Notamacropus eugenii: one gene and its partners. The protein of the gene in region 1 interacts with the protein of each later gene in a pairwise test. Links are inferred from orthologs where the notes say so. Each region holds a gene or a part of one and is shown in the gene's direction. Other genes may lie near its edges. The genes, in order: CDR2, C5H1orf216, KANSL1 and CHIC2.

Region 1 (7,081 bases):
TGCTAAATATCAACACATATAACCCATATAAACAAAAGCTCTTGGGATCCGCAATAATTTTTAACAGCAGAAAGGAGTCCTCACTAGTTTTTAAAAGTATAATTTTTCTGTTGTTCAGTTGTTCTAGTCGTATCTGATTCTTCGTGACCCTATTTGGGGTTTTCTTGGCAAAGATGCTGGAGTGGTTTGCCATTTCCTTCTCCAGCTCATTTTACAGATGAGGAACAGAGGAAAACAGAATTAAATGACCTGCCTAGGGTCAGAGAGCTACTAAGTATCAGAGGTCAGATCTGAATTCATGAAGCTTCCTGATTGCAAGTCCAGTGCTCCATCTTTTGCACCACCTAGTTGTCTCTTTTAAAAGTATAAAAGGATCCTCAATAATTTTTAAGAGTGTAAAGGAGTGCTAAGACCAAAAGGTTTGAGAACCACAGATATAGAAGATGAACTTAAGTCTTGGATACCTTAGTGCTCCTTCAATTTCCATAAACCATAATTAACAAATTATAAATCCAGTCATCTCTGCTCCAAAGATAGTGGTATCTATTTTTAAATTTAAAGCGCCTTTTTTATTTTTGGCCACGGTTTGTTTCCGCCTGAATACTGCCAACTAAGGTAAGTGTGCAGCAGAGAGATCCTTTACCAACACAATAAAAACTGGAAGATCAGTAAATTTTTTCTTTCATAAATGTCAGGGCCTGGAGGCAGGAGATTTGCTATTCTTTTTTTAAAATAGAAATTTATGTTTCTAATAAATATGGGAAGAAAAATGTACTAGAGTTAGTCTGATAAATATTTACTACTGGTGGAGCTTATCATATCCAGAATTTGCTTATTCCTTCTGGATCTCTGAAGACCTGGAGGAATTTCTGAATTAGCTTAGCCATACATGAGGTTTAACAGTAAAATTTCAGTCAATAATTGTCCTGCTCAGTACCACTGAAAAGTAACCTACTGTCAGTGCCAAAATCAGGCCCTGGGAACACTGGTTATCAGTAATGGTTATCAGCACCTTCATCAGACCTTTTTTGCTACAGAGGAGCGGGAAGATGTGATACATATCAGCAAATTTTTATTTTAGCTGCTCTGCTCTGGTAAAAATTTAAGAGGGAGGCATGTGGTAGCTAAAATAAATTTGCGGATTTCAATTATCCCCATGATTCCTAACATTCCAGTGTTATCATCAGTTTCCAAACTTCTAGCAGAGGTTCAAATGTATTAACTGGAAAACACCTGATCTCAACTTTAGGGCCAAATGAAAACTACCTGATAAGATTGGAGGGGTGGGGATGGGACAATTCTTTAGGAATCTACAGTAATGGTAATGCTAACTGGGAGCTATTATTGTGTGTGCTATGTCACATTAAAATCTTTACATATACCCAGGTATGACTAGTATCATAGGATTTAGGCTACGAGAAATCTGCTTTAATCAGTTACTTTTATCTCCCTACATCTGTATTACAGTTCACTGGCAACAGCCTATTTAATGACCAATATAAGCCTGGCTTTGCTACTTAACTGTAAGGTTGAGTAAGAAACTATCTCTTGAGCCCTTGGTTTTCTTTTTTGTATAGTGGGGAAGCAGAGGGGTATTGAACTTCAGAGGTCCTTAACCTGGGGTCCATGAATTTGCTTCTTTAATATTTGATAACTGTATTTCAATATCAAGAAGACCTGAGTTCAAATCCAGCCTCAGACACTTAACAGCTGTGTGACCCTGGACAAGTCACTTAACCTTGTTTGCCTCAATTTCCTCATCTATAAAATAGGCTGGAAAATAACAAACCATTCTAGTATCTTTGCCAAGAAAATCTCCCAAGTAGAGTCATAAAGAGTTGGACACAAACTGAACTGCAACAATTTCAGTATAATCGGTTTCCTTGGTAATCCTATTTAATTTTATGTATTTAAAAACATTATTCTGAGAAGGGTTCCAGAGGCTTCATTACTATCAAAGAGGGGGCAAAAATTAAAAAAAAAAGTTAGGAACTCCTGGATTAGATGATCTCTAAGGTCTCTTTTTTTAATTAATTAATTTGTTTTCAGTTTTCTACAATCACTTCCATATATTTTAGATTTTTTCCCCCTCCCTCTTCCCTCCCTCCCGGAGATGGCGTGCAATCTTATATAAGTTCTACACATACATTCTTATTAAATACACTTTCATCTAAGGTCTCTTTAAACCAGGGTTGGGGAACCTTCAGTCTCGGGGCCTCATGCGGCCTTCTAGGTCCTCCAATTCATCCCTTTGACTGAATCCAAACTTCACAGTACAAATCCCCTTAATAAAAGGATTTGTTCTGTAAAACTTGGACCCAGTCAAAAGGCTGCACCCAAGGACCTAGAAGGCTACATGTGTGCACGTTTCTCACCCCTGCTTTAAACTATAAATCCTATGGGTGAGTTGGAATGGTTCTAAATGGTTTTCTAAATTTAGAGAATCCAGTGGGCCACTCAGGGTAAGACCTAGTAAAAATCATTAAGTAGAAAAAGTTCTTTACTCAATGGAAGCTTTTCTCCTTTAGCTAAGGTGCTTTTATATTACTATCAAAATCCTCTCAGAAAACAGTCTAAAACATAAACAGATTAAAGTGTGAATAACCAATAATAGCTTAAAATTTAATGTACCTAGGAGCATCTTCATTTTTCCTTAAATGAAGTTTTAATAGTAAAACTTTTAGGTGCAACAGTCCCTATTCAGGGGAACAGACTTTTTTCCAGCACCATTAATAACTGCTTATTCCTAAAGCAGGCGAAGATGCTGTAATACAGGTTACATAGACCCTTAATAGCATCCTTAACATTTGATCATGACCAGCTTACTCCTGGCTGGCTGAGGATGGATGGGATGAGCGGAGTGGCTTCTGCCAGATCCTCAAGTCTAAGAGTCAGCAGGGGAAGTGGAGTGGCTTTGTGAAAAGAGTGAGGGGTTGGGGTTACCTGTATGGCCATGGACAAATCACAGTAACTTCTCCTGGCCTCTTTTTCTTTTCCCCTCAGTTTCCTAATGTGTAAAATGAGGTCCCTTCCAGCTCTGTACTCTAAAGATCTGGGTTTTGACAAGAGAACTGCGATTCAGTAGCATCTCCACCTGTCAAATCCATAGGAGCAGGTGAGCCCCGCTCTCCCCAAGGTGCCCCAGGTGACTCCTTAGCTCCTCCCCTCCCTCCACTTACACTGCACACCATCTGTCAGTCAACAAGTCATCCCTCCCCCAACCCTCTGTGCTCCACACACCGCACTTCATCCTCATAGGAATCTTCTACCTACAGGTGGAAGGGCCCTCAGAAGACATCCAGTGGAGCCTCCTCCCTTGACAGCTGAGGAAACTGAGGCCCGGGGGGAAGTGACTTGTCCAAGGTCACACAGGTGATTTCAGGCACCGGATGAGAACCTGCGCCCTTGATCTAGATCCTCCACATCCGACCAACCCACCGGCTTATGCTGCGCCCCCCTCCCCTCCTCCGACTCCCCTTCCTCACCCCAGCCTCGTACAATGACGGTCCCGCTGGTCCACCTACCCCAAGCCCGTCACTGGTTACACGGCGGGATCTGAACCCAGGTCCTCGGACTCCAGAGCCGGGGCTCCGCGCCTCGCCCCGCCGGGCCTGACCTCACGCCCCTCATCCTCCTCTCATCCTCAGCCCAAGGTGACGTCAGTGCGCCCCAGGGGACAGCCTCCCCGTGCGTCACCGCACCCCCCACTCTCCCACCCTCCGCCGCCCGGGGCCCCGCCCTCCCGGCCTCGGCCTACGCTCAGCACCGGCCTCGGTCACTACATACGTACCTCTTTCTCCTCCTTCGTTTCCTCCGCCGCCGCGCAGACTCGCTCCCGGACTGGTGCGGGGTGTGCCCCAGAGAGCGAAGCCCGGTGGGGAGACGTGGACTGCGCGTGCGCCTCTCTCCCCGTGAGCGGGCGCGGGGCGTGGTTGGACTAGCTTTTCAGCGCCTCTTTACTCTTTCTCCGCCTCCTTGGTTTTCTTCAGGGTCTCTATTGGTCGGTTCCCCGGGAGCCAAGACGAATCGGATCTGCCCAGAGGGCGTGATTGGCGAGAGCGCCCGCCCCTCGTCAGGGCGGCGGCCTGGGATTGGTGGGAGCGCGGCCTGGGTTTTGAATCGCTCCCTGGTTGGGGAGGGCGACTTTTGCAAAGTGCCACGTTTGGGGCCGCGGGCCGGGGAGAGCCGGCTCCGGGCTGCCGCGGGGGCACGGCACGGGGCTGGACGTTGTCCCTCGGCCGGGAATCCTAGCAGTGCCGGAGCCCGCTGGTGGTCAGAGCTCCGCGGCGGTGTGGGCGTCGGCAAAGACCCGGGCTGCGGCCGGGGCGGCGGCGGGACCGAGGCTGCCTCTGTGATACCCCGCCGCGATGTTGGCGGAAAACCTGGTGGAGGAGTTTGAGATGAAGGAGGACGAGCCGTGGTACGATCAGCAGGACCTGCATCAAGGTGAGCGGGCAGCCCCCACCCCCAGGTCCTCCGGGCGCTCGGGGGCAAGCCTTACCCCGCTCTGTAATTGCGAGGCGGATTGGAGGGTGAGGAGCCTTGGGTGGGACTGGGGAAGAAGGGTGGTGGTGGGACTGGAGAAGAAGGGTGGTGGTGGGACTGGAGAAGAAAGGAGGTGGTGGGACCTGGGAAGAAAGGAGGTGGTGGGACCTGGGAAGAAAGGAGGTGGTGGGACCTAGGAAAAAAGGAGGTGGTGGGACCAAGGGAAAAGGAGATGGGGGGACCAAAGGAAGAAAGGAGGTGGTGGGACCTAGGAAAAAAGGGGGGTGGAACAAGGGTAAAGGAGGTGGTGGGACCTGGGAAGAAAGGAGGTGGTGGGACCAAGGAAGAAAGGAGGTGGTAGGACCAAGGGAAAAGGAGATGGGGGGACCAAAGGAAGAAAGGAGGTGGTGGGACCTGGGAAGAAAGGAGGTGGTGGGACCTAGGAAAAAAGGGGGGTGGAACAAGGGTAAAGGAGGTGGTGGGACCAAAGGAAGAAAAGTGGTGGTGGGACCTGGGAAGAAAGGAGGTGGTGGGACCAAAGGAAGAAAGGAGGTGGTGGGACCAAAGGAAGAAAGGAGGTGGTGGGACCTGGGAAAAAGGGAGGTGGTTGGGACCTGGGGAAAAAGGAGGTGGTGGGACCTGGGGAAAAGGGAGGTGGTGGGACCTGGGAAAAAGGGAGGTGGTGGGACCTGGGGAAAAGGGAGGTGGTGGGACCTGGGAAAAAGGGAGGTGATGGGACCTGGGGAAAAAGGAGGGAAAGGAGGTGATGGGACCAAAGGAAGAAAGGAGGTGGTGGAACCAAGGAAGAAAGGAGGTGGTGGGACCTGGGAAAAAGGGAGGTGATGGGACCAAGAAAGAAAGGAGGTGGTGGGACCAAGGAAGAAAGGAGGTGGTGGGACCTGGGAAAAAAGGAGGTGGTGGGACCAAGAAAGAAAGGAGGTGGTGGGACCAAGAAAGAAAGGAGGTGGTGGGACCTGGTAAAAAAGGAGGTGGTGGGACCTGGTAAAAAAGGAGGTGGTGGGACCAAGAAAGAAAGGAGGTGGTGGGACCAAGAAAGAAAGGAGGTGGTGGGACCAAGAGAGAAAGGAGGTGGTGGTGTTGGAGAAGGAAAGAGGTGGGAGGGAGGGAGAAGCCCATCCCTGAGCAGGTGTCCTGCCTGGCTTCTTCTCGGCCAGTGTGCCAGCCCTGAGATGATTCTCCCTTTCCCGCCCCTCCCCTTTTCTGCGGTATAGACTAGGTCTGTGGCTACGGGCTGGGATGCTGCTGCTCCAGCTTCTCGATTGTGCACTGCCCTCTTGGTTATCTTGCTGAGTCCAGGTGAACTGGGGTGAGCGGGGATGGGGATGATCGGAGTGAAAAAGGGAGGTTGCCGAGACTTATCGGTCCCGTCACTTGGTTGCTGCTGCTTCGCTTGCGTTAAACAATTAAACGTCGTTTGTGCATAATTTACCCTTGCCGAATTGTAACGCCTGAGTACGTACCACCCTACCTATTGCTTGTCCTCCGAAAGCTCCTTTGCACCCCAGTACCAGTGCTTGCTTGAGGTGGATTTCTCAATTGGCTTTAATTCATCCCAAAATAAACACTTTCTGATCTGCTTACACATCGGGTTCACTGGCTCATTTTTAGCATATTGAACAGATCCCAGGGATTCTTGCACGCTTGAACTACGTAGCCTTTCCACATTTTAAGCAAGTCTTTGTTTAAACTATGAACAATGCCCACATTTAGGTTAACTTTAAGCAGGTATCTTGATTTTTATTTGTAGAAGTGAGTACAAAATTTAATGAGGGTTTGAAACCAACAAAACCCTTTTCCACGCCCACAACATTCTCCAAAGATCTAAGTCAATTTCACCTATCTAGTCTTTATAGTCAGTAATTTTTATGAAATAGAATATACAGTGGCAGTGTGGCATAGTGAGTGGGTAGAAAACAGCCAGCCTCAGAGTCAGGAAGATGTGGGTTTAGGACTTGGTCAGAAATATACTGGTTTTTAGACCTTAAGCAAGTCATTTAACCTCTTAATGTCCCAAGTAACTCTCTAAGACTAAGTTGTAGAGCAGGTGCCTGTTCTTTATGATAAAGGGAGTTGCTTACATCAATGAAATCATAGGTCTGATTTTTTTTAAAAGTATAGATCACTTTTAACATTGCTGTGAGTAGGCACATTTTACAGCTTAAAGGGCTGAGAATTAATTTGCCCTTTAAATTCCAAATGAGATTAATGAAAGGCATTAGAACACTAAGCTTCCTCTTCAAGGAATATGTGCTTAATGACTTGTAGCCTTTTTAGAGTTAGAGAAAACAGTATGTATCTGTTCTTTAGGATAGTTTTTTCCAAACTAATTTGCCTTCAAAAATCATATGACCAAAGTAGTCAAGCCTTACATTGTCTATGTAATCCAAACTAGTTGACTATTGTAAAATAGTATTTTCTATAGTTACCCAAGTTTACTGTTTTAATACAGCACTGAGTTTATATTGCAGGTTTCCCTCTATGTATTAGGCCATTTATTACTCAGATATGTTCTTTAGAATTAATGAAGTATCCACATATAATGGAGATAGGAGAGTAATCTGAAAGGAAAGCTGAA
Region 2 (6,873 bases), on another chromosome or scaffold:
TCAAAGTTGTTCTTAAAATAATATTGTTGTAACCGTATACACCATTCTTTTGATTCTACTTATTTCACTCTTCATTATTTCATGCAAGTCTATCCATGTTTTTCTAAGATTATTGAAGTTATTATTTCTTATAGAACAGTAATATTCCATCACCATCATATATCACAACTTGTTCAGCAATTCCCCAGTTGATGGGCATCCCCACAATATCCGGGTCTTAGCCACCACAAAGAGTTGCTATAAATATTTTAGAACATACAGGTTCTTCTTCTTTTCCCCTAATCATCTTTGGAAACAGACCATTTAATAGTAGCATTGCTGGGTCAAAGATTATGCCGTTTTATCTCTTTAGGCATAATTCCAGATTGCTCTCCAAAATGGTTGGATCAGTTCACAATTCTACCACAAGTTTGGTAGAGGAGAGAATTTAGGAGGAAATACGAATTCGTTTTTGCACATGCTGAGTCTGAGATACCCCAAGAATATTCATTTCTACATGTCCAATGGGCAGTTGATGACGAAAGGCTGAAATTCAAGAAAGAGGCTTGGGCTGGGTATATTGATCTTGGATTCATGAACAAAGACATGATCATTGAACCCATGGGCACTGATGACATCTCCAAAAAAAGAATATAAAGAAGAGGACTGGGAACAGAACCTTGAGGTCCACCCATACTTAAAGGGCTGTGATATAGATGTCATGCCAGCAAAGGAGACTGAGGACAGATCACACTAGTAGGAGGAGAACCAGAAAAGAGCAATAGCATGAAAACTCAGAAAGTAACCTAGAGAATGAGTGGTTGACAGTGTAAAATGTAGATAGGTTAAGGAGGAGGAATAATGAGAAGATATCATTAGATTTGGTCATTAAGAAGTGGTCATAGGGCAGGTAGGCAACTCAGTGTATCCTGGCCCTGAAGTCAGGAGGACCTGAGTTCAAATTCAGCTTCCGATACTTACTAGCTGTGTGACTGTGGGCAAGTCATTAAACCCTGATTGTCTCACCAAAAAGAGAAGGAAGAGGAGGAGGAAGATGAGGAGGAGGAGGAGGAGGAAGATGAGGAGGAGGAGGAGGAGGAGTGGAGGAGAAGAAGAAGAAATTACTTTGTAGAAATAGATTTCAATTGAATGATGAGGTTTGCAGAGGCTTTGGGGGAAAAAAATGTGTGTTCGTCCTTCACTCTCAAAGAGGACCATGACATCAAGATAATGATATGATTTGCAGTTGACTTTGATTTGAGTGAGGGAGGGCTGTGCAAGGTCACCAACCTCACTTTCTTCTCCCATGCCATCTGGATCCAGTTACCTGATATTCATCAGGACAGTTGGAGATGATCCAGGATGCAATGGGAGACCCTGGCCCTTTCAGACTAAGGTCTTATAGCATTCTCACTTTGAGTGAGATACACTCATTCAATGAATAGACTTCTTTAAGCACATGTTCAAGGGATGGCCCCTTTAATTAAAAAAAAAAATCAAACTGGGAGGAGAAGACCCTCAGGGTTCCTGGGTAAAAGAGCAACAATTGGTTGTTCTCTGTTGCTTTCGAAGAGGACCAAAATGACATCACCATGATAAAGTGAAGTTTCAGTGTGTCTGCCTGTGGCTGATCAGACCAATATGAGCTCAGAATGTTCTGCTCCAGATTGAATATAGATAGTCCATGTGAGTATTTGGGATGGATACTCCAAATTTGTGCATCCTATGTTTACTTTGTGCTATCTCAATTCTGCTTTGCTCATACATCACAGCACCCTTTCTGATGTGGGCACATCATGCTGAGCAGTCCCGTGTCAGTGTCTCCCATGTCGCACAATCAAGTCCAAAGTTATTGAGAGAGACCTTGAGAGTGTCCTTGCATCTCTTCTTCTGACCACCATGTGATCACTTGCCCCATGTGAGTTCTCCATAAACTAGCCTTTTTTGGCAAGCATACATTTTGCATTTGAACGACGTGGCCAGACCATCGGAGTTGTGTTCTCTGAAGCATAGTCTGAATGCTTGGCAGTTCAGCTCGAGCATGGATTTCAGTGTTGATTGATTCTGAAAAGTAATATGGAATTATGTTCAAAACATCATTGAACTGTGCATAGCCTTTGACCCAACTATACTCCTCCTCAGAAAGAGGAAAAGGACTCATACATACAGAACTATTTATAGAAGCTCTTTTTTTGTAGTGGCAAAGAATTAGAAACTAAGTGGGTGCTCGTCATTTAGGGAATGGAAAAACAAATTATGGTATCTGGATGCAATGGAATATTATTTTGCAAGAAATAAAGAAAGAGGATTTCGGAGAAACCTGGGAAGACTTGTATGAACTGGTGCAGAAATAGGAGAACAATGTCTATAATTTAAAAATTGTAAAAACAATTAGCTTTGAAAGTCTTAAGAATTCTGAGAAACTCAATGACCACTTACAATTCCAAAGGACTTATTATGAATCAAGCTACCCAACTCCTGGGAGACGATGGACTCAAGATGCAGAATGAGACATGTGTTTTTGGACACGGCCAATGCAGGAATTTGTTTTGCTTCATTATCGGTATTTGTTACAAGGGTTTTCTTTTTCTTTAAGGGTGGGGAGGGAGAAGGCAGAAGGGAGAGAGAATAAATATTTACTAATTGAAAAGAAGTAAAATAAAAATTAACATAAAAAGTAGAATGAAAGGAGAACGGTAGTTCCATGTATATGCATTATTTTCGAAGAGTTTAAAGATTAAAGATATAGAGATTAAAGATACAGGACAATAGTTTCAGGGATGGTGGGGTTGTCGTTTTTTAAGGATGGGGGAGGATTTGAATGTTTGTAGGAAATAGGAAAGGAACTAGGACATAGGAAGAGATCAATCATGAAAGAGAAGGGATGATAGTAGAGGCAATGTGAAGGAAAAAAATGGGAGAGATGGGATGGAATCAAGAGGTTACAGAGGGGTTAGCCTTGGCAATGGGGAGGACTATTTCAGTGAATGGACTAAAGGAGATAGTAAAGGATGAAAATATGGGATGAAAAGAGAAAGAAAAGAGAGCTCTAAGTAATGGCCTCAATTTTTTCAGGTAAGGTACGAGGTAAGGCGCTCTGCTGAGAAGATGGGAGGAGAGGGTACTATGTGACATAAGGAGAAAAGAGAAGGTATGGAACAACTTCCATGGTAAATTGACAAAAAATAAATTAGAGAGAATGAGAACCTGCACAAGAACATTTACATACCTACTTACATGGAGTACATGTACAGGCATACCTACACATGTAAGCTTGTTCCTGGACATATCTGCAAATGAGTACACAGACATGAGTACATGTTAAGTGTACTTGCCTGAATTGCCAGCATACATCATTCTGTCATTTCCACTGTAAAGGTCATAGCGTTTCTAGAAGTGGAAGGGTGCTTACAGATCATCTGCTCCGCACAGAAGCTTTCAGTATTATGCTCCTAAAACACAGAAAAGAATTTATTCATGGGTCTGTACATAGGAGTATACAGATATGTGTGTGTGTGTGTGTGTGTGTGTGTGTGTGAACCTCTCCTTGCTTGGCAAAAAAAAAAGGATTTTTTGCTGTCTGTATCCTTCTCCCAAGAATCTTTCCTTTGTGGGAGGATGGCTTTACTTCCCCTCTCATGTCCCCTACCTCTCCCAGCAAGTGTGTTCTGTGCGTATGTTTGTGTCTTAGTGTGCCTGAATTTGTGCGTGCCTGTCTTGCCCAAATCTGTGCCTGCGTGTGCCTGAGTGTGTGCCTCTGAGTGTGCCTGTATGTATTCCCGAGTGTGTGTCTCTGCGTTTTCCTGTGTGTCTGGGAGTGTGTGTGTGTGTGTGTGTGTGTGTGTGTGTGTGTGTGTGTGTGCAGCCTCCGCTGCAGCCGGGGCTCCGCCCCTCCCTTTTCCGCACTCCTTGCCAGGCCAGTGACTCAGTGACGCTTTCCTGCGGCTGGAGCCGGAGAGGAGCTGAAGCCCGAGTCGGGTGGGCCTGGGCACCTCTGGGCTGTGAGTCTGGGCTGTGGGCAGGGTGGTCGTTTTGTTTTGAGGGGAGAAACTCCGGGGGCTGGGGCTCTATAAAGGGCGCGGGGGGGACACCGCAGTGGCCCATGTTAGGGGAGAGACTCATCTCTGGCCTCCCAGGGCTGTGGGTGGGGAGTGGGGGTGGGGGGGTGGGTAAGGGTGAAGAGGAAGGAGGAGCGTCTCCTGCAGCATCCCCCACCCCCGCCAGAGCAGTGGCTGGGAATGGGGAGTGGAGGCGGGGCTTGCGGGAGGCCCATGGGGAAGAAGAGGGGAACAGGAAAATGAGGATGGGGTTAAGGATGCTCCGGCTTTGCCTGTACTCCACAAGGATGGGGTGTATGTGAGGGCGCTGACTGACCCTAGAGCCCTGCTCTCCTCACAATTCTCTCCCCTCCCTACCAGCCTCAGGATCCTCCACCACTCTGGGCCTGGCTTCTGCGCAAGGTCTTGGAGGTGGACCTGTGTGCCAGAGACCCTCTGGGGGCAGGGCCTAAGGAATTGCCAGTCCTGCCAGGCTAGTTTTTGTCCTTAGTGAATACCAAATGACTGATTAGCACTCATTTCCATATCTCTCATCAGTTGAACCTGCACACAGGTACCATACATACATATTACACATGCTTTACGCTGTACATACATGGGCACACAGCTACACTACCCAGGTACATACAGAAAAATGTATGTATACATATAATATGCAACACACACATGTACACAACCTGCATGCATGGGCATGCATAAACCACATATACGCGACGTACATATACATATACGCAACCCCAAATGCATACTGTACATACATATACATATATACAGCCCCAAATGCATACTGTACGTACATATACATATACGCAGCCCCAAATGCATACTGTACGTACATATACATATATGCAGCCCCAAATGCATACTGTACGTACATATACATATACGCAGCCCCAAATGCATACTGTACGTACATATACCTCATAGCCACCATACCTGGTGATTTGAAGACCATTAAAACACAGCTCCATAAACAATATTTTATCCCATCCTCCCTCCCTACACCTTGTGATGACCATTCGCCTTTCTTTATCCTTCCCCCTGTCGTCCTCTGATCACTGCCCCCGCCTTGTTAGGCTGCCTGGCAGGATAATTTCTTATCTTCTGTAAGCCTTGGTTTGCCAATACACAAAATGTATATAGTTGATGATGACACCTTCTCTGTGAGTTCAAGCCTACACTTGGACAAATACATTTGTTCTAATCTCTGCCCATTGAAAGTATTCACAGGGAGGGTAATGGCTGATCAGAGCAGAGGAGAGAGAGGACAGACAGAGCTAGGTATAATGGGCACCATAGCAACAGAAGACAGGGATAGAAAGGACCTCCTAATGTGGAAGCCAGGAGGAGTCAACTCAGCTATTCAGGGCCTTTCTGCTCAATACCTCAGTGTCCCAATCTATCTGATAATCAGTCAATCTGTCAATCAACTAACAAGTATTTATTAAGCACATATTATGTGCTAGGCATTGTGCCAAACTCTGGAAATGCAAATACAAAAATGAGATAGGTTTTGGCATCAAAGGCTTTGAGGGTAGGAGGTGGGAGCAGAGAAGAGGGACTCATGCACACCAATAAGAAGAAATATTTGTCAAAAATGCACACCAATAAGTCAAGATATAAAAATGTGTACTGATAAGTAAATCAAGGATACATAGTATACAAAATATATTCATCAAGAAGAAAATATAGAATGCATTATTAAAAAGGACACAGGGTTGGGGGAGGAGTAGAAACTGGAGGTATCCAGAAATGCCTTCTAAACAAGGTAGCTCTTGAATTGAACCTTGAAGGGATCTGGGAATTTCAAGAAGCAGCAGTGAGGAACAAGAGCATTCCAGGACTGAGAGACAGCTTGTGCAAAGATATGGGGACAGGAGAGGAAATGTGTTCAGGGAAAAGCAAGTATTCTACTGGAACTTAGAGTGAATGAAGAAGAAGAATGTGCAATAGGTCTGGAAAGATCAGTCAGAGCCAGATTGTGAAGAATTTGAGAAACAAAGGAATTTGTATTTTATCCTAGAGGAAGATGGGAGACACTGCAAATTCTTGAACAGGAGAGTGATGAGCAGTCCTGTACTAAAGGAATATCATTTTGGCAGTTGTGAACATACAGTCATAGAATCACAAAATCAGAAGGTTGGTAGGGAATGCCTGTAGCCAGATAGTCCAACCCATACACAAAAGGAATTCGCCATTTAACTTATGGGCCAAATGATCTCTGGGAAGTGTCTGAAGACCTTCAAAGAGAGAGGAACTACCCCTCCCTCAGGCAGGCAGCTTTTCTACTTCTGGACAACTCCATTTTCCTCCCTTTCTTCTGTCCTTCCTTCCCTTCTTCCCTCCCTCCCTCTCCTTCTCCTTCTCCTCCTCCTCTTCTTTCTTTTCTTCTCATTCTCCTTCTTCTCCTTCTCCTCCTCTTCCTTCTCCTCCTCCTCCTCTTCTTCTTCTCCTCCTCCTCTTCTTCTTCTTCTCCTCCTCCTCCTCCCCCTCCCCCTTCACATTTTAAGTTCCAAATTATCTTCCTCCGCATCCTGCACTAGAGAATGCCACCATTTGACACAGATTTCCATACTATGCTTCCCTCTGTTTATCAGTTCTTTCACTGGAGGTGGATGCCATCTTTTTTCATAGATCCTTTATAGCTAATCTGAGTATTTATAGTACTCAGTAACTTAATTGTTCACAATTATTCTTCAAGCAATATTGCTGTTACCGTATATAATCTCTTGGTTCTGTGCACTTCATTATTTCATATAAGTCTTTCCATGTTTTTTTTTTTCTAAAATCAACCAGCTCACCATTTCTTTTTTTAAATATATGTATCTTATTCCCC
Region 3 (7,478 bases), on another chromosome or scaffold:
TAATTTATCAGCTATTGACTGCTTTTTAGTGTTATTTACATTTTGAAGTCATTGTGACTGCTTAGTAATACTATTTTCTTTTACGTTATTGATATTCTTCTCCTAAGTTATGCTTATATTATTCTCCATCAATTAATGTCATCCCATATTTCTCTGAATTCCTAATATTCAATGTTTCTTATAGCACAATAATATTCCATTACATTCATAAGCTACAATTTATTTGGTCATTGCTCAATTGATTTATTTTGAAATTCTTGCTACCACAAAGAATGCTGAGATGACTATTTTGTTAAATATAGTAACTTTCTCTCATTGTTCTCCATGGCATATAATTGAATTCTAATTACATAAAATGTGAGAAGGAAACTATCATTGGGGTATGTTCTTGTCTTTATCATCAATATGCCATCATCAATAATGATAAAATAATATATAGCAATGAAAATAAATATAAATTAATAATAAATAGCAAATATAATATACCCACACTTTGAAGACCTCTAAATTCATCAGTGTGGGTATTCTCTCTGTTGAACAAACCCTTACTCATAAGCATCTAATCCAACTCATATACTAAAGACATCTCCATAGAAACATATCTGACAAGTGGTGTCATTCAGATGACATGAGATAACACACGTAAAGTGCCTTGCAAACTTTAAAGCTCTACGTAAATGCTAACTATTATCATTCTCTATCATCCACCCTCTACTTGAAGAGCCTTCCTCTCAAAGTAGACTATTTCATATTGGCACAGCTCTAATTGCTTGGAAATTTTTTCCAATATCAAGTCTAAATTGATCTTTTCTACCCATTACTACTGATTTTGCCTCTTGGGGGCTAAATAGAACAATTTAATCCCTTCCACGTAGTAGGGGATAGTTATCATGTCTCCCTCATATCTTTTCATTTTCAGACTAAACAATCTTTATCCTCATATGACAATGTAAGCAAAGACAAGGCAAAAATTCTCTGTATTTGGGAATCTCAGTCAACAAAAAATAATTGAAACAAATAACATCTATACAATATCAGATCATAACTTGCCTATAACTTAGTGGGGGGTCTTTTAGACTACTTGTGGTTGAAAATTTCATCACCTTACAATCAAGTTTGTGATCGTAAAATCATACAACATATAATGTCAGAAGTGGAAGAGACCTAGAGATCGTCTATTCCAAACCCTCTCCTTTCATATATGAGCAACTTTAGCTAGGCTTATTTGTCAACAATAGATATATAGTCTAAAATTGGGACCATACTTGAAACCCAATTCTATAGCTTGGTGTCATATTTTATACTTCACTGGTATCAACTCTTTAAGAACTGAGTCACCATGGTGCTATTTCTAGCTATCAGTCAAAAAGAATTTAAGTACTTGCTGTGTGCTAGGTGCTATGCTAAATGTGGGGGTGGGGGGAAGTGGAAGGGGGAAGTGAAGGATGCAAAGAAAGACAAAAAAAGGTCCCATTTATCAGGATTACATCTATGTCATCCGTCTAAAATCACCACCAGCCTCTGTTCCTCTGAATGGAAGGTGGAGCCATGAATTCTAAAACTTCTCCTTAATAGGAAGGATAACTCAGTACAACTCTTTTGGCATTTCTCTCCTGGCTGCAGGACTTTGGAGGGTCTCTGACTTTTCCACCATAACCCAGGAAGCTCATCAATGGGAAAACTTCATCATCTTGCAAGATCCCATCAGTCTGGCTTCTCTATCTCATCACCACCCATTGTCCCTTTGATTAGAGGGTGGAGCTATGAACTCCTTTTATAAGTTGTTTTCATCTTCTTTTGTATGTTGTATTTCTCATTAGATTGTAAGTTCCTTTTAAAATTTGTATCCCTAACCCTTGAACAGTGCATATGCTTAATAAATATTTATTGATTGACTGAAGTTTCTTCATAGGAGAGGCACTTGTGCAGTCCAGCAATGAGTATTTCCTCTCTGCTCAGCCAAAAATTTATCTCCAGTATTCCAAAAAAACCCCAGCATTTGTGTTCTGTAAAATGACTGGCTTAGAACAAATGATCTCTATTTCCTTCTAGCTCTAAATCCTGTTTCCCATAACTCTAAATTATAACAACCCACTTTGTTAATTATTTTTTAAATGAGACTTATTATAAATACCTTTTATTTTGTATCAGTCATTTTTGTATATGCCCTGACAAAATAAGTTACATTCTGTCCTTGTAGTCACCTGCCTCCCTAGTAAGGAGAAGAAGGCATATGTTATAATCTGTTTCTAATACCAAGAATGGTTATTTTTACTACAGAGTTTCGCATCCTTTTAATGTTTTTATTTACATTTTTGTCATTTTGTATATTGCTCTGCTCTGCTTATTTCATTCTGCATCATTGCATATAGATCTTTCCATTTTTCTTTGAATTCCTTATTTTCATCAATTTTCAAAAACTGTATAATACTATTCCATTACATACAAATTACATTTATGTGGTACTTTGAGATTTTCTATCAACATCTCATCAAGGTACACAGTACAAACATAATTATACTCACAGATGAGAAAGTGGAGGGTCATGATGATCCTTTGACTTGACCATAGCCATATTGCTAGTAAGTATTGGAGTTAGGAGTTCTTTACTTATCTTTTCCATTGACACTTGAAATTGAGTAGGTTAAAAAAAAAGCTTATACAATACCATGACCCTGAAAGGGCTGATCTAGTTCAACCCTTTAACATTGCATTTGAGGAAACAGAGTCACCAGATGTGTGACCTGACCAAGGTCACATGGAGATATCATAGGACTAGGACTGAACTCAGGTCTCCTATCTCCTACTTCAATTCTTTAGGTTCAGAGATGTCCCAAGAAGAAAGTTGCACAACTAATTTGTAGCAAACCAACACAAACCAAATCTCCTCCCTTCTAATTCAATTTTCTGTTTCTTTTACAACTTACTTTTCTGAGTTCCCTGTTTCTTTTCTTACTCCCAAGTCGACTTGGCTTCAATAACAATTCAACCAATATTCCCTGAAATATCAGGCACTGTAAAAATACACCATTTAGGTGTGTTCCCTACCCTAATGGAGCCTACTTTTTAGCAGGTGGATATGGTACATAGACAATTAACCATACTCAAATGGATTTGTACATCCATTTGGGAGTTCCTTCCAGTGATGCTGATCACAGCCTCAGCATGCTTATCTGCCCTGGGCAGCTCTTGTCTATCTGTTCCCAAAAGTTTGCCACAGGGGATCCTCCCAGGAAACAAATGAGGATGGAAAAGGTGGCAAGCATGTAAAAAGTATAATGTGCTATGTAAGGTTGGAGCGGGAATCCTAGGGATGGGGCAATAAGGAAAGGTCTCCTGGTGGAGGTATTTGAACTGAACTTTTAGCCATAGGTAAGATTTCTTTTGGGGGCAGTGAGAGGGCACTCCATGTATAGCGAGCATGAACATAGATGTGGAAGTTGTATTAGAGTTAACTAGTTTAGTTTGTCTGGAGCTTAGGGCATATGGAGTGGAGTAGTATAAGATAAAGCTTCAAAGGTAGGGGGTGGGTGTCAGATTGTGGAGACCCTCAGATACAAAGCTGAGGGTTTTGAATATTATTTCATAGTCAATAGGTGCCATTGGAGAGTTTGGGGTATAGAAATCCCCCCATACCAATGATTCATGTGTGGCGGTGGTATGAAGGATGGATTGGAGGGGGAGGAGGGAGAGAAGGAGGTGCAGGTGGTCATGAGGCCCGGTATTAGTAAGAGGCTGGTGGCAGTCTGAAGATTGAGATGGGAGATACTGCAGAGTCTCAGGGACTTGGCAGGGCGTGGGAGAGGAGGAGCACTTCCCAGTTTTCCTGTCAGTGCCAGTAGCCCCATCATCCTTCCACTTTCTCCTACCTCTCCTTCCTGTATCCTTGCATCTCTGTCTATATCATGTAGGTCTATATAGCCACATTTCTGCTACCTAGCCCTGCAGTGTCATCTCACCACGTCCACAGTGTCCACCCCCCCCTTCTCCTCTCCCCCTCCCCCCACTGATTTATGGCTGAATTGTTGCAACATCCTTTTATAAGGTCTCCCTGCTTTAGTTTCCATCATGTCGCTGCCCGGCTCTAGAACCAAGAGATGGGGGGGGGGGGGGGGGCGTTAGGGTGGGAGGGGGAGACGTGGTGCTGGGGAACGAAGAGGGGGCATGATCAGGGGACCAGACTGGGGATGCTTCTTGGAAGCCCTGCCAGGACCCCTCCATCTCCTTCTTCCCACCTCCGGGCCCCTCCCGGCCTCTCTGAGCAAACATTTCCCGAATGCACGGACAGAGACAGAGACAGAGACTCCGAGAGACAGAGAGAACCAGAGAACCCGGGCACCAGCATCACTCGCCCCCCCTTCCGCCACGCCCCGCCACCCTGACGGACGCTCGGGCGCAGCCAATGAAGCTCCGGCCCTGACCTCGGTAGGCCAATGAGAGACGGAGGAGGGCGGACAACTCCCCGCCCCCCACTTCTAGGCTAGGTTGAGCCGTGCAGGTAGGTCCGGGGCCGGGGGAGCCGCCGTTGGCGCTGGTGCCCGTGGCGGAGCGGGGGGTCTGGGGGCCCGCGAGATGAAGGGGCAGCCGTCGAGGGAGGGGAGGGGGGTCCGGGGAGCCGGGCGGGCGGGGGAAGCCGGGGGGTGGGCGGCCGCAGGGGCGCGGGCCTGGGAAGCGGGTTGGGCTGGGGGGGAGAGGGGACGCGTGTGTATGTGTGCGTGCGTGTGTGAGTGCGTGTGAGTGCGTGTTGCACACCCGCCGCCCCACTCCCCCTGCAGCCGCCCCCGAGCCCAGGCCCCCGCGGCCGCCGGCCCGGCCCCAGGGATGGCGGGGGGGAGCGGCGAAGGAGCCCTGGGCGCCAGGCCGAGCCCAGGCGAGCGCGGGGCCCGAAGCCGGGCTGCGGGGGGCCCGGAAAACCGAGGCCAACGGCCGTAGCCCCCTCCCCCCCGCCCAGGGCCTCCCGGGGTCCTCCCGCAACAATGGGCTTCGTAGTGGGGAGGAACCGACAGAGGGCTGGAAGAAGGTGGAGGTGAGGTGTGGGACCAGGGACCACCTGGAAGAGGGGAGGGGAGAGCAGGGCTGGAGTGGGCATGGCCCCCCCTCCCCCCCAGCCCCATCCCCAGGCCTCTGGATGGGGATGCTGATGGGGGAGGAGGAGGCCTGGACGCGAGCTGGCCCCCGACCCACCTCCTCCACTCAGTGCCATGAACTGTAAGGAAATGAGCCCAAGCCATGGGAAGTGATGCCAAGTTCAGGAGCTGGTGTGATGACGAAGGCATGGCCAGAAGAACTCTACCCCCACAGTCAATTTGTGTGTGTGGAAACCTTTAATTTTCTTATTTTTCCACATGAAGGAAAAAAATTTAAGTAGTGGGTGCTATTCTGTTTTGTTTTGAGGGGCTCACCAACTCCTGTAAGCTCTTAGCCTCCTATTGGAATTTCCCTTGGGCTCAGGGACCCCGGACTTGAGGGAACCTTGTGGTCATTTCATGCCACCAGGCAAAATCAAACCCATTGCAGACACTGGACTGACTACAGCTGGGTTTTGGAAAAGTATCTAGAAGAGTAATTACCTTTCACTTAAACATTCTCAGATTAGAAAAGATGTAGGTTTGTTTTGGAAATAGAATCGATCCTGGAACTTCATTTTTTATCAACTAAGTAAAGGGTACTGTTTAAAAGGATCAAAAGATGTTTATTGTTATTGAGGTACTAAGTCCCTTTCTAGTTAGTTTGGTGATTTTACTCAGACTGTTTAGAAATATTAAGGGCATATCTACAATTCAAAAATATAAACAGCCGATTTTTCAAATACTTGGAGTACATAGGGCCTAAGAGTATTGTGACTGTCTTTATACATAAAAACTCTGTTTCTAAATTATGAACTTTAAGTCCTCTACCAGATAATGAATTCTGATTCATCACTTGCCCCCTTCCCCTTCTCTCTGTATATGCTTGGGCTAGAAAGGAATTGTAGAGACCATTTAGCTAGCCCAGAGATTCTTAATCTATTTTTGTCATGGACCCATTTGGCAGTCTGTTACTCTTTCTTAGAATAATTTTTTAAAATATTAGTGATTTAGGGAAATGCTAAATTTCAGTTAGAGGTTAGTGAGAATAAAAACATTTTTTCCCCATCAGAGTTCATATATACTTCTCATATCTATCCATGTATGCCTTGGTGGTTTGTAGATCCCAGGTTAAAATTCCTGAGATAACCAACTCTCTTCAGTTGATAGATGAGAAAACAGGCCCAGGGAAGTTAAGTGACTTTATTGGCCAGGGTCACAAGTAGAAGTTTTAAAAAGTCAAAATTTGAATTCAGGATTTTCAAATTCTAAATCCAGAATTGTTTTCATCACATATATCCTCATTTGTACAAATATAAACATATATAATGTATATACATATGTACACAGGGGGCTTGCAGAGTATTAGTACTTTAACAAATTGATGAGATGAATGGCTGTTTGAGGAAATAAGAAATTTAACTGATTTAATTTTTAAAAATTATTGGGTTTGCAGATAATGTTGATTTGTATTTAATTTAAAAATCTTCTGTTTCAGCTATCCTTTTTGAAAAGTAAAGATTTTTACAAGTGCTGGTCCTCGTTAGATCCAGAGGAGTTACCAAGATTTTCTTTTTACTTCTTAATCTTGTGTGCATTATTCTGGACACTATGAATGCTACTTGGATGCCCGTTAAGGTAAAGGTCTTTTTTCTTAGTTTGTGTGCTTTTGGCATTTATGTTCTTTTGAATTAGAGAATGACCTAATACGTTTTAATCTTGGTATTTTCTGTTTGCTTATTAATATTAGGTAGTTCATTTTCTTCCTAGAAGAGAGCACCATTTATTGTTAGTTGCATTGTCCCTTGTCAAGGATGTTAAAAATATTTATTCAGTTTTGGAACCATTTTCCATTATTCTGTGTTCAGTTCTTTCATTTAAATCATAAGAAGCTACATAGTCAGGTTTTGCTTTTTAAATGTGGTAGAATGGATTAGAAAATTTAAAAATTAGTTCTACCTTTAAACTTAATGACCAAGTTGTTACATCATATGTACAAGTGTTCATACTACTGTTGAAAATCAGTAGCTTAGAGACCTCAAAAGAGTCATGGACCACTTGTTTTTTCAGTAATTTTCTACAGTATGTTAAAATTCTGTTGCCATTTTGGTCTTTGGAGAAATAACCTTGTTAGAGAGTTGAGTATGGCTTGGCTGAGGAATGGTCATTATGGATGTCCTTCTTCCTTTGTCCTTTACAAAAGCTTTCATGCCCCAACGCTGTACAGATGGAATCCTGTGCCAAGTCACATGTCATTGGTTTAACTCCATCCCAACAATGGAGATAAAAGTCTGGTGATAAAGCTGCCATCAGCGTGCCTGACCCTCACTTTGATATAAAGAAACAAACTGATATATGTATGCTGGCTCTCAGTAGGGAGGCTATCAATCTCTTTTTTTTCTCAATGCCTAC
Region 4 (7,844 bases), on another chromosome or scaffold:
CCCATCTGGGAACTTGGTTTGGCATCAGCCTGGGTCAGTTCCACAGAGTCACTGGGTGTGTTCACTTTCCTGCAGTAAACCAAAATCTCAACATCTCGATCAAACTGATGCCCTTAAGCCAAGGAAACCTGGGTAACCATCTTGTCATCTTCCAAGTACTGCAGAGGACTCAGAGGACAGTTGGACTGGATCTTTTTAATGCCATTGGGAGAGTAGATATTGGCACTGACACTAAATATGTAGGACAGCTCCTTGTCAGGAACCCAAGGGATTTGAAAGGTGACGTCAGCCTCAGCTGACTCTGTCAGGAGATAGTGTAGATTCAATATGGTTGACAGGACAAATTGAACAGCCACATCTGCCTCCAGGGACAGTTCCTAAACATAGCTCAGAGTGACAACAGTCTTCTGGTCAGGGGGCAGATTTCCTAGATTGTAGCTGAAGATGTCACCAGAGCTGCTATCCTGCTCCAGAAGGAAGGCTTGCTGACCTTGGGAGATGGCATTCTTATAATTCTCCTGGGCCTGCTGATTCTCTTGTATTTCTGCAACTATACTCTTCACATCCACCAGAGCCTGGAAGCTATAAACAGCAGAATCTTTATCCATGCAGAACACAAAGAATGCTTCCACAGGATGTGCTTCCTCAGTCTTGTAGTCCAGGGTTGCAGACACATCTGCCACAAACTCACAGATAGACACAGCCACTGAGATGCTCTTAAGAGGCACTAGATGCTTGGAGGGGGTGAAAAGACTACAAGGGAATTCCATAGTGAAACTACTCAGTACTTACTGCTTGCAAATTTTGCTGCAAAGTGAGATATGATTTTTTTAAAAGAGAAACATGATGGTTTCAGATGACTTACATAAAATGAGATAATTGTAAAACACTTCACAAACCTTACATAACCAAATGCTAGCTATGATGATGATGATGATAATTATGATAATGGCATTTCCAACATCTTTGTTTCTGCTACTACCTCTCTATTTAGCCAGAGATTTGTTGAGAGAAATCAGATGAAATTTGATATTCTACAATTCTAATTTTGTAGGCTATAAATGTGGATTGAAAGCTAGAATATATGAAGTCAAAGAAGGTAATGCCTCTCCGAACCAGGCACTTGGTAGTAATGTTGGAAGTCATTCCTTGGTAGAGGGGTATGAATTAGGGACTGGTTCTCCTGGAGAACTCATTTTGTTACCTGTATTCTAGTTATTGTAGAATGTAATATCCCCATCCCACTTGATTATAAATTCCTTGAAGATAGAGACCTACAAATGGTAGTCAGGTTTTTAGCTCTGCCCATTTAAATTTTCATTTATCCATAATATAGCTGAAATGGTAAGTTCTTCTTATAGTTCAACATAATGGGTTAAACACAATATTTGTGGTTGTCCTGGCATAATTTGATAGATTTGCAATGTAATATTGTTTATAATATTATTTCTACAAGAAAAGTAATTCTTTAGCATGAGAACATACTAGGTACTTCTTGTCTTTCTCCTCACCATCTCCCCTGGGTAACTGCTAGCTCCTTGCCCTACAAGGGGAAAAGGAATGGGATGGCATTTTACATTCCAGGGAGAAGGAAGGATAAGTGACTTATAGAACACTTCTTATTCTTAATGGCTGGGGTCCTGTACTAACTCCCTACAGTATTAAAACCGGGATTGCCTACCATGTTACAGTCACAATAAAAGGATTGGATTATCTAAATCCAATTCAACTGAACAATTTATTAACTGCAAAGCACTGTCCTGCTTTGATAGAGAGAAGTAACAAGGCTAAACTAGTTAAGATCCCTTCTTCAAACAGCTTACAGTCTATTTGGATGAAGGAAATGCAACACATGTTTAAATAATTATATTGCAGATTAGAGTTTCTTTTTCATTTTTATGTACCAGGACTGGGCACAGTACTCTGTTCTGAGTACCATGGAGTTATCTTTGACGTTTCCTTTCTCTTCACCTAAGATATTCAGGATGTTACTGAGTCCTCTCTCCTACCTTCATATATTCCATATCCATCCCCTCCTTTCTCTTTCCATTGCCACCTCCTTAATTCAGGCATTTATCAGCATCCATTCAATAGCCATATTCATTAGAATTTCCACTCCTTTGCCTGTCTGACCTCACCCAATATTTCCAGTCTTCTCATAGTACTCCCTCAGTGAACTCTATATTCATTTCAGACTGGACAACGCACATCCCCCTCAAATCTGCATGGTGTTCAGCTTCAGCCCCTTTATTCAGGCTTTTCCTATGCCTGGAATGTCATTCCCCTCTCCTCTAGGTCTGTTGAATTTCTATTCCTCCTTTAAAGCCCAACTCAAGTGCTTCTTCCCTCAAATTTTCCTTCATCTGTGTTGGTACATCAATTCTCCTAGGACGCCACAAAACACGTTGTTTCACAACTCTCTAATGTACTAATGATATAACATTGTATATTACAGTTATCTGTGTTTGTTCCTGATCTGTCTCACAGGTTATGAACTCTATAGGAACAGGGACAGTGTCTTAACTAAACTTTCTATCTCTCACATAGCTTAGCAAGCACAGTATTCTGTTACACAGTAAGTACGCAATAAATATTGGTTGAATGAATGGACATTAAATAAATGTTTGTTGAACTGGATGAACCAGTTAGAAAGGTACAAATGTATCATTTGAGGTCTAAGATAGAAAAGATCATTGTGACCATGTGGAGGAGCAGGAGAATCAGGAAAAGCCTCATGGAGGAGGAAGCATTTGATTTACATATGAGCTCATATGTAGAGTACATGTGGAAAATAGCTCAGCATAAAGCTGGGAAGGTAAGGAGGCACCAGGTTATATCCCTGAATTTAAAGATAAGAAGTTTGGACTTTATTGGGAAATAATTACACACACTTACACAAGATTTCCAAAGCACATTCCTTAGCTTCAATTGAAGGGTTTTGAGCAAAGGAATATTGTGAGATATGTGTATAAGGAAGATTAACTTGGCAGCAAAGGGATGAATGATTTTGAAAGACTCTAGAGGTTATAAATAGAACCAGTGGGTAGAAGTTGTAAAGAGACAGGTTTGATAAGGGAAAACTTCCCAACATCTCAAAGTATAATTAGCTCCCTTGGAAATTAGGGAGTACTCCATCACTGGAGGTATTTGAGCAGAGATGAATGTGACCATTTGTTGGGAATGCTGAAGAAGACATCTCTTCAGGTATGGGTTGAACTAGATAATGCTTTGAGGTTCCTTTTAGCTCTGAGGATCATGACTGTCAGAGAGTTGGAAAAGACTGGAGATGAGAGAAACTGCTTAAGAAAACTTACTTTCAATCTCTCCCTCTCTATTGGCTCATTTCCTACTGCTTACAAATATACCTATGTCTTCTCTTTCTTGAAAAAACCCTCAATGCAGCCTTCCCTCCCTGCTATCATCCTACATATCTTTTCTGCTCTTTGTAGCTGAACTCCTCAAAAAGGTCATCTAAAAGAGGTCCTCAAACTCTTACAATCTGACTTCCTGCCAAGTTGTTCCACCAAAACTGCTCTCTCAGAAGTTGCCAAGTCTCTTAATCGCTAAATCCAATGTCCTTTTCTTACTCTTCATTCTCCTTGACCTCTCCGTAGCCTTTAATACTGCCAATCTCTCTCTTCAAATCTGTTCTCTCTAGGTTTTTGGGACACCCTTCTCTCTCCTGCTTCTTCTCCTATCTATCTGATTACTCCTTCTCCTTTGCTGATCTTCTAGATCACACCCTCTAACCTTAGGTGTCCCTCAGGGTTCTGTCCAGGGCTCTCTGCTCTTCTCCCTTTAATGCCATTTCATTCACCTGGTGATCTCATCAGCTCCCATGGATTTCATTATCATCTCTGTGCTGATGATTCTCAAATCTACCAATCCTATGCCAATACCCTGCTAACCTCTAGTCTTGAACCTCCAACTGCCTTTCAGACATCTCAAACTGGATGTCCAATAGACATCTTAAACTCAAAATGGAACTTCTTATTCCCCACCCCCCATATCTCTCTTCTCTACCTTCTCCTATTGCTGTAGAAGGCAACACCGTCCTCCCAGTCCCTCAGGCTCACAACCTAGGAGTCCTCCTTCATCCCTCACTATCTCACCCCGAATATCCAAACTATTGCCAAGGCTTGTTTATGTCTCCTTTGCAACATCTCTCAAATACGCTCTCTTCTTTGACACTGCCACCAATCTAGTTCAGACCCTCATCAACTCACACCTAGATTACTGCCAATATCTTTTTAGTGGTTCTGTCCACCCTAAGTCTCTTCCCATTTCCAGTCCATCCACTATTCAGCTTCTAAAGTGATTTTCCTAAAGCACAAAGTTCCATTATATTCACCCCCTACTCAACAAACTTCAGTGGCTTCCTATTGTCTCCTGGATTAAATACAAAGTACTCCGTTAGGCCTTCAAAGTCTTTAAAACCTAGCCTTCCCCTAGCTTTCTAGTCTTCTTACACTTTGCTCCCTGTCATACACTCTGATTCAGTGACACTAACCTCTTGGCTGTTGGAAAAACAAAACACTCCATCTCTCAAATCTGAGCATTTTCTCTGACTGTTCCCAGTGCTTGGAATGCTTTCCCTTCTCCATTCTGACTATTGACCTCCCTGGTTTCTTTGAAGTCCCAACTAAAATCTCACCCTCTATAAGGTTTTGCCAACACTTCTTAATCCCAGTGCCTTCCTTCTATTATCTCCTCTTGATTCTGTATATAACTTGCTCTCCATACAGTTGTTTGCAGGTTGTCTCCCCCATTATAGACTATCTTTTGCCTCCTTTTTGTATCTCCTGGCACATAGTAGGTACATAATAAATGGTTTCATACATATAATGGATATATAATTCACAAGACTTGGCAACTGATTGAATGTAGAAGGGGAAAAAGAGGAAGCAATCAAAGGCAGTTGAGTTTGTAGCATGGCTAAGAATTAATCAAAGGTGGTGCCACAGGATAGAAACAGGGAAGTCAGAAAGAGAAGCTTTGGGGAAAAAGGAATTATTGGATCATAAATTGAGAACTGAAAAAAAAAATAAAAAAATAAATTGAGAACTAGAGGGGAACTTGGAAGTCAGTGAATCCAACATCTTCTTTTTGCATCTGAAGAAACTGAGGTCCATTCAGGTTAAGTGGCTTGCCTAGCTAGTCACACAGCTAGTAAATTATCTGAAGCAGTTTGTGACACTAGGTCTTCCTGATTCGGGTCCTGCACTCTCTTCTCCTGAAAAGTTAATTTTTTTTTTTTTGGACCTTTACCAGTGATGGGTCAGGAGAGTTCATACACGGTGTTAAGCTCTGGAAGTTTAAAACTGCACTTAGACCTTGCACTTTTCCTTGGCGGAGCTACTGGGCAAGGGAGAGTGGGGTGGACCCTTCAAACGTGAGGATGCTCCAGCAGATGGGTGGGGATAAGTGAGGCGGGGAAACTCTGCGGGGCCCTTCGCCTCCTCGCACGTGGCGAGGCTGCTCGGGCCTCCAGGGGAACCTCCGCGTCTGCCAAGGAGGCACCTTCCAGGACTGTCCCAATGGGAGAGCCGGCGGTGTAGACGAGGTCTCTTGGTCCGAGACGTCAGCGGTCGGCGTCAGGATCAGGAACGAGCCCCGCAATCCGAGCCCCGGGATGCGCACGCAGCCCCGGGTTCTTCTGCTCGCTCCTGGCTTTGGGGGACCCAGGGGGCTCCCCGCCCCGCCCTCCAACGTCTAAAGTCAAGGTGCACCCTTTTGCTCGCTTCCTCCTCCTTCCCCTCAGGAGGGCAGAGTCCAAGGAGTCGTTCGGGCTTCTTGGAAGCAGGAGAGAGGGTGGAATCCCGAGAGAAGGAACGAGCCGGCCGCCCGCCCGAGGAAAGGGAAGGATGACGTGGAGAGCGAGAACGGGAGGAGCGGCGCGCGCGCGCGTGCGCGCACGCGCACGCGCACGCGGCCCCGCTCGCTCGTCCCCCGGGTCGGCCAGTCCGCCAAATCTCGCGATGCCTTAGGCCGCGGCTCCCGCTGCGGGTGGCTCCGCTGTTGCTGTGGTTGCCTTAGTTGCTGCGGCTGCGGCGCCGGTGGAGGTGTGGGCCGCGGAGCGGATGTTGACATTGTGTGTTTTTACGGCTCGACGGTAATGGCGGCGGCTGTGACGGCCGGGGCTCCGTCTGCCCTCCTGTAGTCCCCCAGGAGAACCGGGGACGGAGCGGAACGAGCTGAGCGGCCCTCCCCGAGCGCCGGCGGCTGCGACTTTTCCTCTCACCCTTCCGCCGTTCTCTCGCCCCAGCCCCGGGCCTCCAGCCCCTCTCGGGCCGGGGCGGGGAGGGGGGAGGGCCTGCGAGGCCTCAGCATGGCGGATTTCGACGAGATCTACGAGGAGGAGGAGGACGAGGAGCGGGCCCTGGAGGAGCAGCTGCTGAAGTACTCGCCCGACCCCGTAGTGGTTCGCGGCTCCGGTCACGTCACCGTGTAAGGCCCGGAGGAGGGTGCGGGAGAGGACGGGGAGGTGGCGGGCAGCGGCGGGGCCCCCTCCCCGCGACGCCCATCCGGGGCCTTGTGGCCTGGGCCGGCGACCAGGAAGAGCAGGGACGTGTGGTCTCTGTCTCTGTCTCTCAGTCTGTCTCTCCCTTCCCTCCCCTCTCCTTCCTCTCCCTTTCCGCAGGCCCCGCGGTCTCTTGGAGGGCTTCTCCTGACGTACCCCTCCCTGCTCCCTCCACCCCAGTGTGGAGGCCAGCGGCCCTCTCTGCCCCCGCTTCCTCCCCCTGGGCCTCTCTTCCCCTTAACCTTGGCTTGTCTTCCTTGTGTGCCGCTGACCCGGGGCTCAGGCCGGGTGCAAATGGACGTAAAGACCCTCATGGAAGCCGAGGCCGCAGGGGTGTGCCTAGGTTCCTTGAAGTATGCTAAGGTTCCTCTTCGGAAAAACCTCCCCAGATCCTAAAATCCTTGCTCGGGATTTTTATTAGCATGCTGCTTAAAAATCTGACAAGATCACGAGTGCCTCCAAATAATTAAGAAAATCAACCCGAACGTGGAATGCAGCACCGTTAAAATTGCTGTCATTCTCCAGAATACGTACCTGTGGCTCCCTCCTCCCATCCATTCCTCTTGAGAGATACTTGAATCTCACTTTGTAAGGTTTAATGAAATCCCAGCCAACAACGTTGAACGTCTATCTAGGCGTTAGGCTACACTAAGGGAAAAAAAAGCCTGTCTTCTAGGTTGTGACTAATCAAGGAATGTGGATACTTGAACCAAATAATGAGCTGTCCGGAAGCAGGAAGTTTCGTAATGTTTCTCTGAAAAGTACAGTTACGTACAGCTGGCAACAGTATTTTTATTCGTTTCGTTACGAAGCGCAGTGCATACAGTAGGCCCTTAGTTAATGAATATAAGTACTTGTCCTCTCAGATCAGAAATTCAGGTGCCATCTTTATTAGCTCTGTAAGTTGCTTTTTACATGAGTGCCTGTTAGTGATTAATGTACTTTTAAACAATTTTTATTAGTTTTTGTAATCTAGTGAACGGGGTGCTGACTTTTACTTTTAGCCAAATAGATTTCGGATATGTCATTAATAGGAAAAATCAGTATTTCTCAATAAATCAGCAGGCTATCTAGTTGTTTGGATGTGCTTATGTAATACTCTGGCTTCTTTGGCACCTATTAGTTTACAGAGTATAGGGCTTGGATGGGAACTGTCACACCCCATGCCTGGAGCACTATTACAATATATGTTTTTCTACAATTAATTGTTAATAAACTACCTAGCACACCAGCCAAAGTAATAAACATAGCAAATTATATATGTAATGAATACTATCACATCACAGCATATCTTTAATATTGCAACTTCTTGACAACTAAAATT

The links.
Region 2: the proteins of CDR2 (region 1) and C5H1orf216 interact in binary tests that used the Homo sapiens proteins (3 or more experiments, as listed by UniProt). The two-hybrid records come from large-scale screens. The link is inferred for Notamacropus eugenii from reciprocal best matches to the Homo sapiens genes CDR2 and C1orf216.
Region 3: the proteins of CDR2 (region 1) and KANSL1 interact in binary tests that used the Homo sapiens proteins (3 or more experiments, as listed by UniProt). The two-hybrid records come from large-scale screens. The link is inferred for Notamacropus eugenii from reciprocal best matches to the Homo sapiens genes CDR2 and KANSL1.
Region 4: the proteins of CDR2 (region 1) and CHIC2 interact in binary tests that used the Homo sapiens proteins (3 or more experiments, as listed by UniProt). The link is inferred for Notamacropus eugenii from reciprocal best matches to the Homo sapiens genes CDR2 and CHIC2.

What each region holds. Positions count from the first base shown.
Region 1 is NC_092874.1:396,564,632-396,571,712, forward strand, and holds the start of CDR2 (cerebellar degeneration-related protein 2), read left to right. Parts: upstream 1-4,074; 5' UTR 4,075-4,367; coding exon 4,368-4,446; intron 4,447-7,081.
Region 2 is NC_092876.1:83,994,398-84,001,270, reverse strand, and holds the start of C5H1orf216 (UPF0500 protein C1orf216 homolog), read left to right. Parts: upstream 1-3,872; 5' UTR 3,873-3,980; intron 3,981-6,873.
Region 3 is NC_092873.1:346,576,032-346,583,509, forward strand, and holds the start of KANSL1 (KAT8 regulatory NSL complex subunit 1), read left to right. Parts: upstream 1-4,474; 5' UTR 4,475-4,498; intron 4,499-4,663; exon of another isoform or gene 4,664-5,026; intron 5,027-5,075; exon of another isoform or gene 5,076-5,310; intron 5,311-6,564; 5' UTR 6,565-6,704; intron 6,705-7,478. UniProt on the Homo sapiens protein: Non-catalytic component of the NSL histone acetyltransferase complex, a multiprotein complex that mediates histone H4 acetylation at 'Lys-5'- and 'Lys-8' (H4K5ac and H4K8ac) at transcription start sites and promotes transcription initiation.
Region 4 is NC_092877.1:105,529,078-105,536,921, reverse strand, and holds the start of CHIC2 (cysteine-rich hydrophobic domain-containing protein 2), read left to right. Parts: upstream 1-4,833; 5' UTR 4,834-6,328; coding exon 6,329-6,447; intron 6,448-7,844.